2 linked regions of the Oryza sativa Japonica Group genome follow. The protein of the gene in region 2 interacts with the protein of the main gene of each other region in a pairwise test. Links are inferred from orthologs where the notes say so. Each region holds a gene or a part of one and is shown on either strand. Other genes may lie near its edges.

The links.
Region 1: the proteins of constitutive photomorphogenesis protein 10 (region 2) and cullin-4 interact in binary tests that used the Arabidopsis thaliana proteins (3 or more experiments, as listed by UniProt). The link is inferred for Oryza sativa Japonica Group from reciprocal best matches to the Arabidopsis thaliana genes FUS9 and CUL4.

The regions. Positions count from the first base shown.
Region 1 is NC_089037.1:33,642,151-33,646,536, reverse strand, and holds the start of cullin-4, read right to left. Parts: upstream 2,876-4,386; 5' UTR 2,716-2,875; coding exon 2,337-2,715; intron 1,216-2,336; coding exon 1,100-1,215; intron 1,026-1,099; coding exon 679-1,025; intron 256-678; coding exon 75-255; intron 1-74. Other genes in the region: tRNA (guanine(26)-N(2))-dimethyltransferase 1, read right to left, coding at 3,963-4,277, 4,358-4,386. UniProt on the Arabidopsis thaliana protein: Component of the CUL4-RBX1-CDD (COP10-DDB1a-DET1) E3 ubiquitin-protein ligase complex which mediates the ubiquitination and subsequent proteasomal degradation of target proteins. Participates in the CDD complex to light-mediated control of development.
Region 2 is NC_089041.1:23,577,619-23,581,964, reverse strand, and holds the start of constitutive photomorphogenesis protein 10, read right to left. Parts: upstream 3,105-4,346; 5' UTR 2,984-3,104; coding exon 2,695-2,983; intron 2,485-2,694; coding exon 2,411-2,484; intron 638-2,410; coding exon 490-637; intron 335-489; coding exon 237-334; 3' UTR 1-236. Other genes in the region: glucan endo-1,3-beta-glucosidase 4, read right to left, coding at 4,148-4,277. UniProt on the Arabidopsis thaliana protein: Component of light signal transduction machinery. Involved in repression of photomorphogenesis in darkness by participating in the CDD complex, a complex probably required to regulate the activity of ubiquitin conjugating enzymes (E2s).

The sequences.
Region 1 (4,386 bases), on a different chromosome or scaffold from region 2:
CCACCAATTGCATAAGTATACCTGAATTTTGTGTGAACAAAATGCAAGGGGAAATACAAGAGGTTTATCAATACCTCCACATGCTTGAGATAGTCTGGAATATCAGACTGCTGCAAATATTTAACACCTTCAGTAGCATAAAATTCAGATGTACACTCCAGAAAGGGCTTTTCAAAACTCTCAGAATACATTCCAAGAGCAGTAAACATCTTCAGAAGATGACTAAGTAATGTCCTGTCTATTGCTTCACCAAGCCTGATAAGGAAGAGATGGTTAATGAATAATCAGTTACATAGAAGAATATAAAATAAATTGACCCTTCAAGTCCACAATTTTAATAATTTAAAATGGACCCAATACATACACTATGATCGCCAGCTACATCACACAAGGTAAATGCAATGACAAAACTTTTCTCAAGTAAACTGATTACTCTTTGATATGTAATGGAGTATACAATACATTGCACTAAGTCTGATAAGGGTACTTTTTACAGTTGACCATTCAACCCAGATCTCTGAACAATTCCCAAGTGAATCAGAACATGCATTACAAATTTTCATCATTCCATGTTTACGCCCACCCCCACCCCCCCCCCCAAAAAAAAAACACACACACACACACACAATAAGACAGGTAATGCACACAACATGGCTCAGTACAGCAGAGTAGGCATACCTCTCACTCTCAATTAATCTTAGAAGACCAGTAACAGTTTTGTGTTCAATCTCCGGAGACAGTGAAAGATGCTTGCGGAATAGCTTCAACCCCATGTCCCACACTGAACAAATGTTTGCAACATTCTTGACATATTTTACATCAAGAAGTAAAGCAATACCACGAATAATCAACATCTGATCGCAAAAATCTTGCCATGTTCTTTGCACCAGAGACAAAAATACTACTAAATCTGGACTTTGACCCACTAATGCTGATATTTTTGCCGATATGTGTACTTCACATTCTTTCTTTATGCGTTCGTATAGATTTGCGCCTAGCTTGTGTAGACAAAGGTCACCTGCAGCCTATAGTGAAGAAAACAAGTTCTAAATAACTAAAGTGGGATCATCAAATAGAATAGAAGCAATATAAAAATTACCTGGTAAAGTTTTTCAACATCGCACGAAAGTTTCTGTTTTAGAAATATAGCTGTAATAGCATCTTTCAAAATAGCCCATGTATCCTCCTCAAAGTTTGTTGGCAATTTTGGCTGACCTGATACATGAAAAACAGATGGGATATAATGAACAAAACAGAAAAGGGATGCAACAAGAGACGAATTCCGGGGTGGGAGTAAATCTTTAGTTCTTGTTCGGCAAATGGGTTATGAGAGGTGGGATCGGGAAAGGGAAATGAGTGAAGGGCTACAATGAAATGGAGTGGTTAGAATGGATGGCTAGGATGCAGTGTTGCATTTTTTATGGGTGGATATTATTTCCCAATCTCATTTGCCAATCACGCCAAAGGGTTGCAAAAAATACATCCAGAAGATCCCAGGGGTCTATTATCTAAGAAAGAACATATGGCCTTCTGAATTTTCTTATACAGGTTACTAGTTAGTTATGGTGGGTACTGATTAGTGAATAGTGACTGGTGCAGGGATTATTATTATATATGACTCAGAAATGAATAGATATTAAAGGTTAGAGCCACTGCAACATCCATTGCACAGAAACGGATTTTCAGCTTTCTCCTGAAGACTAGAGAAGGTCACATACTGGAGATGCGAAGCAAAGCTTCCAATAAATACCGACAGTTACACCCAATAAAGAGACAAAAGAGTGTCAACTTTTAAGCAATCTAGCTAGAAGCCAGCTCATATGGTGCAATACGACCAAATGGGGAGCAGGAAGTCAGAAGAACCATACAACTATGCCCAAGCTCACTTGTCAACTGCATTAAAAAAGGCAGAAATCCTTGATGCATATTCACGCCCAACAAAGCAAGCCAAGATAAACAAGCAATTACAAGGAATTGAACATACATATATATCTCAAGAGAAACTAGACGGATTGTTGCTGACGAAATCATTAGTTACCCTAGCAATTATCAATTTCCCCCAAAATAGTCCAAGTGTCTAGCCAAATTCCTCTTTACAAATAGACACGCCAATTAGTAAATAGAAAACAGAAGTGTGTGACGAAGCGATCCATTTGACGAAAGGGCTAACGAACACCACCTCAATCCCTCCCTATTATTGGAATTTAAGTTAACGACGCAAGCGGGCAAGTGAACACACTGAGAGGAACAATAGAATTCCCCTCAATTTACCCCCGAAACCCCTCGATGATGTATTCTCACATGGAAAACGTGCAATTACAGTGAAAGAGAGGGACCTATTTTGATTCGGAGGGGCTTGCGGGCGGCGGATGGCTGGGGGAGTGTGGCCTTCTTCCGGAAGAGGTTGGCGGCGACCCCCGCCGGGGCCGATGCGCTCGGAGCGGCGAGCTCCTCCTGGTCGGCGAGCACCATCTCCGCATCCTCCTCGCCGTTGGTGCGCCCACCGGTCCGGGCGGCGGCGGCCGTGGGATCGACGTGGAGCCCGTTCTTCTCGGTGACCCCGGGGGCGGCGGCGGAGGAGGAGGAGGAGGAGGAGCCGGGGAACTTGGCCTTCTTCATGTGCGGCTGCGCGGGGGAGGTCGGGGAGGAGGCGGCGGCGGAGGAGGAGGAGAAGTGGCCGGGGCGCTTGGGGGCGGTGGCGTGGGGGTGAGACATGAATCAGATGCCGAAGCGCATGGCGCGGCCGCACCGGCGGCGGCGGCGAGGCCCGGGGTAGGATGGGTGGTAGGTGGCGGCGCGCCGGGGTTTTGGGGGTGAGGCCGCCGCACGCCGGCGAGGAGGAGGTGGGGGAGTGGAGACTAGAGAGAGAGAGATCGGGTTGGGGGAGGAAGGGTTTCCCCTTTTCTTTTCTTTTTTTTCTTTTTTTTCCTTTTTCTTTTTCTTTTTTTTATTTTTTATTAGGTGGGATTTGCGAGGCCGTAGCGGCCCAAATTAAGAGTGAGAATGTGGGCCTGGAGTTCCACGCGGCCCAGTTTCCTTTTGTTCTCATTAGCCCAATTCTGTTGCCGCCGCCTTGCCCTCGCCGCCTCTGCCTTCTGTCGAGAACTCGAGATCGAGAATTCGAGATATCCACGCGCAGTCAGATATGGAGAACTATAATCTTCATCCCTTTGACGGGATCTTCTTTCGTTTGTTCAAAAAATTCATCCAAACGGTTATAAAAAAATTAGCAACACTTGTACTACATGCCTACTGTACAACCTCACAAAATCTCACGTACAGACTCAACTCACGCATCGAAATGTTAAAAAAAAAACTCAACTCACGCATCAAAATGTTAAAAAAAAAAGACAAATTCAGGTATGACTAATAGCTATTGTTTACATCTGATCGAATTTAAACTTAATTTTTATACCCATAGACACCGTTATGTATGTTGTTAATTCCTTTTAGAATTTTTTGTAACTATCTACATTAAATTTGGAAGAGAGAAGAGAAAGATATAAATTAAGTTGTGTTCAGGGATTAGAATCCATTCACACGCAAATACCCTACCTGTCTTCGTCGTCTTTCTGTCTGATTCGCCGGATTCGCGATCATTGCCTCAGCCTTTGGTACAGGGAAGGAATGCACCCACAGAAGTTACAAAAAGGTTCAGGCAGAAGAATAATACAAAATGAAACCCGTCCAATTTAAGCGCACAAAAAAAAAACAATTGCATTGCATCCCATAGTCTTCACCCGTTTCCTCACCATTTCTCGCTCAGCAGGCACACTGAATAAGCTTGGCCAGAAGCGCAAAATATGACAACAGATTTTTCGCGATCAAAATTCATTGCTAAAAACCGTTTAGCAACACAGCTGATAGATATACCCATCAGTCACACCCTCAAGAAAAGTGAAGCATTACAAACATGGAAGAATTGAGTGGTGAAAGCGAAACGTGCTCAGGTTCAGTGACAATTAAGGTTCGGTTGCCAATCCAACATCGCCGTTTTTTTGGCGCTTTGTTGAAGGTTCATCCTCTTCATTCGTTGCATCTCCTCCGGTTTCTGTCGTTGGATTATTTGGCTCGGCCACCTTTTCATCTTCGGTGCTGGCAGCACCGTTGATAACACGGTTGACAACGTCTGGACCTAACAGAGAAGCATGTTTACTTGTAATCTTCCGACCAGCTCTGATTTTGGGACCCCAATGACGTTCTGGGTTCGGAAGGAACCGCTTGACCTTCTTTGCTTGAGCCCTGCTGAGGGCAGCAGCCGCTCTAGAGAAATTTGCCTATGAAAACACAAAGGAAGTTAGAATGCCATCTAACTGAAAGGCATAAAAGGACTGCTGCACGTTCAAGAAATGCATACTTCAAGCTTGGGTGATTTTGAAAGGATCG
Region 2 (4,346 bases):
GTTGGACGAACTGATTCTAAACAAATACCTTGATAAGTACAATACCATTGAAGCCAATTCTGCCACCTAAAAGCTAACAACATAATAATTGTCTAATATAAAATGCACAGGTACATCTTATGTCACAGTCAACCTAAACAAAGTATTGATCTTTTCCCAACATTGTACATCTCAGGGTACACCAAATATATTCATTTACGGAGTTAGTGATCTTGCTTAGCTGCAGATGGAACTCCCTATCTTGCAAACCTCATCGTCCACTCCGCAGCTATTTCATCATGCTTAGTTCTATCAGTCAAGTATAAATGTCCAATGCTCGGCACAAGTGGGCAGTCTGCACGGAAAAAACAATCATAATATGAAGTTATCAAGATGAAATGAAGCAAAAATTATGTGTATATTACATAGTTTAAACAGGACTGCATGTTTTATCATGGAAGATAGTGCAGAAACAGAACAATTGTGATCATACTGTAACTTGGAACTTACATGGATCTGGGTTTGTTATGATGGCTTTAATGGCAAGTAGCACCTTTGAAATAGTTAAAGCAGGACTCCATCCTTCCCTTAAAATGTCCATACTCAAGTTACCAGTGGAGTCAACATTGCAGTGATAAATCCTTGTCTTGAAAGTTACCTAGCACAGTGACAGAACAGTTATAACTTGTAACCACGAATTGAGGTCCCCTAATACCGAAATATCGGATAAAATTACAGCAGTGGATCTCAATTGTTTCATACTTCTATATAAACATTGAAATTGCTGTTCCTTCAATATTGAAATTTTAGCATGTTCAACTGGAAGAGTGTATTACCTTCCATATTATTAATTACTGAAACATCAAATCAAGCCACAATTGCCAGCCCATGTGTATTTCCTCTGTATTATGAGTGTGCTATCCACTCTACAAAAACTTGAGAAATTCACTTACTATTGCCAAATTATATGGAGTGTAGCATTAGCAGAATTAATATGATTGCCATGTTGGACTGTATTGATGTTTGCATGGTTCCATGTGCTGGTTAAGGTAAAAGGTAGACCACTGCAGGGCTGTGTGTTAGGTCAAATCAGTCCTAGCATTGCCCTAGGCTTCCAGCACTGCTATCTAGAGAATGGGGGAGAATTCCAGATGCTCCATCAAATACTGAAGAGCAGAAATGGAGGTTGGTTGTTCGGATCCTTCATATCCTACCTCCCATCAAGGAATTATAAGTTGATGGTAATAGCTGGGCAAAGACAGTAACAGTCTTACTGTCTTAGCAACCAACAAACCATGAAGCAGGTGATCATGTAGGGCTGTGTAGGCTACAGCCAGCAGGTGTATACTGATTAGTCAATGTCAACACTAAATGGACCAAAAATCTGCATTTAGAAGGCTCATTTTTTTACCAGACTACTATGCAAATAGTATATTGACATAGGATGAAGGTGATGCCCAAGCACATTAGGCTTCCAATGGACAAAACCTTTCTCTGTAAAATTTTAACACAGCACTATCAACCAAAACAGGGGATGTCTAGGAAAACAACATTTTAGAAACTCTGCGCAGTTATTTTCTTGAACACTAAGCATAAAACAGACTTCAGATAAGTTTTCTTCATAAATAATCAAGATCATATTGAAAAGAGGTAAATGGTGCTTACCTTAAAAAGAACGCAGGTCGCTTTAATTAATAACAAAATAAACTAGCTTTAACATAATCTCTTTTGTTATCTATGCCCTTCTAATCATCACACTGTTTGCTGAGTTAGCCCTTGAACAGAAGCATTCCTTGTCCCCAAAAAGATTCATGAGATATTCCATTTTAGGATGAATCTTAATCCTTGCAGACAACTCGACACATTTTCAAACCCCTTCCAGGCTAAAATGCATAGATCATACACTTATTTTGAAGAAACTAAAAGAAGTCCGGTGAAGGTAGACTTTTGAAACAAAATACCCTATGCATTTACTAAACATACCAATGTTCATCACTTTTGTAATACCCTGTTCACATAGTGAAGTAGAACTAGCTATACAACAATATTATCCCAACCAATTATCCATCCTATTTGAATTTCTATTCCACTTCTTCAAGATTTTAGACATGCGCATGTCTCTTAAAAACATTTCTTTGGATGCAAGCATTTCCCATGTTACCTTAACCACACTTCCACGCGGTAAATCAATAGTCGTCTATCAATAGTTACTGAAGGGAATGCCATATTTATTCTAGATATTTGTTCCAATAACAGCGATATGATCACTCATGAATCACAGCATTAGGTAGAATGCACACAGACAAGGAGAGAAAATGTCAAGTTACAACTTAAGCTTCTATATGATCTCGTAGAAAGCCAGACACCTCATAACCAACAGCCCATTTAAGCAAACAGAAAAAAAAAAAAGAAGCTAATTCTTAGTTCTTACCATGGGAGGTTTAAACGGATAGTCAATTGGGAATACAATATCGAGGAAAAATATCCCTCCTTCATACGGAGATCCTACAAGATGAGCACTGCATTAGATCAGCAAAGTGAAGGTGGTCATAAGACTAGTTCACTCTACACTCCACACCCTAATTCCAAACTTGAAAAAAAAAAAACCGCGATTTCAACTAGTGAAATTCGCAGAGCCGCAGTAAAATTCGCACGAGCTTTATCGGCTGCTGCTAGCAGGGGGGAGTAAGCGGAGAGGGGGAAGGGCGATGATACCCTGAGGTCCGATGATGGTGGAGAGCCAGTGGTAGAGGTTGTCGCCCTTAGGGCCGGCGGAGCAGTCGGAGGCGTTGAGGTCCATCAGCTCCTTCTGAATCCGCTTCCCCGACGACGACACCGACGTGCCGCCGCTGGAGCCCCAGGGGCGCACGCCGCTCCATCTTCCACCCCCACCTCCGCCGCCGGAGCCCCCTCCTCCTCCTCCTCCGCCCCCGCTGGTGCCGGCGCCGGCGCCGGCGGGGAAAGGGGAGCGAGAGGTCGGGAAGGAGGAGGAAGACGACGACATGGCCTCGACGGCTGGCTTACGACTTGGCCTTGGGGGTGAGGGGGAGCGGCGCCGCCGGCGGTGGTGGGGGGATGGAGAGCGACGCCGGAGTGGGGGGAGAGCGGCGGAGAGGGGAAAGGTTAGAGGGAGTGACGGGACGATGAGGGGAGGTGCGAATTTATTTATTTATTTTTCATAATTGTTGTGATGTTCAGTGTAAAATACTACTCCCTCCATTTCACAACATAAGTCATTCTAGCATTTCTCATATTCATATTGATGTCTGTTTCACAATATAAGTCATTCTAGCATTTCTCACATTCACATTGTGAAACGGAGGTGAAACGGAGGAAGTAATTGCATTTCAATATAAATTACTCTATCCATCTTAAAAACCAAACTAGAGGAGAATTTGCAACATATGTTCAGAAATTTTATGTGGAGTTAAATCGCCACCTACAGTGGTTTTTTTAGACGGGAGTACAAAATATGAAAACTAAAATTTGAGAGAAACTGATTTGAGACGTGCTTTTATTCTGCGTGACAGCCTGATAGCTCCACATATACTCTTATAAATCCATTTTTGCTGTTCCAGTATTGCCAGTAATAATGGGCCAAAAGCGACCAAGTACTCAAATTTTAAACTGACCACACATAAATCCAACCCTGAAAAACCATAAATAAATTTCGGTGCCATGTAACTGTAACATATGGACTGCTTTAGAACGTAGAAATTTTTATGTAGGACTTAATTCTTCATTGTACAAACCAGGCCAGACATTTTTGCATCTGCTACATGAGACCAAAAAAAAAACTTAACAAACATGTAGTACTCAACAAGAGTATAAATTTAGAAGAAAAAAAATATTAGTGAGTCTGAGAGAAAAACACTGTTACTCAACAAGAGTGACAGTTTCAGTACTGAAGCGATATGCAGGGAGCACAAAACACTTTTTGAGTCATACAAACATTTCAGAAAAGAAGGTTTCCACAATTCAATACTCCCAGCCTGGCATTCAAAATTGATGTATTTGACTCCTTTCTCTAGGTCAACGAATTTTGAGAAACACATGCCATCTAACCTCAATACATCTAAGACAAATATGGCCTCCTACACTCCTACTGACAAGATCCACAATAAATTTCGGGCATCTCATCCAAAACGCATCATTTTTTTACAGGGTTTTACATGAACACCATGATAGACAGCAATGTAATTAGGTGAGTCAACCAGCACGAGTGAATTTGTGTAGCAAAATTGTCTGGGCTTACGGGCCCAGACGCCGCACCACCGTTGCTGCCATTGGAGCCAGTGCTGCAAGAAGAACCAACACTGCATCAGGACGTAGAGCCAAAAAAAAAATGTAGAACCGTTAGCACAAAA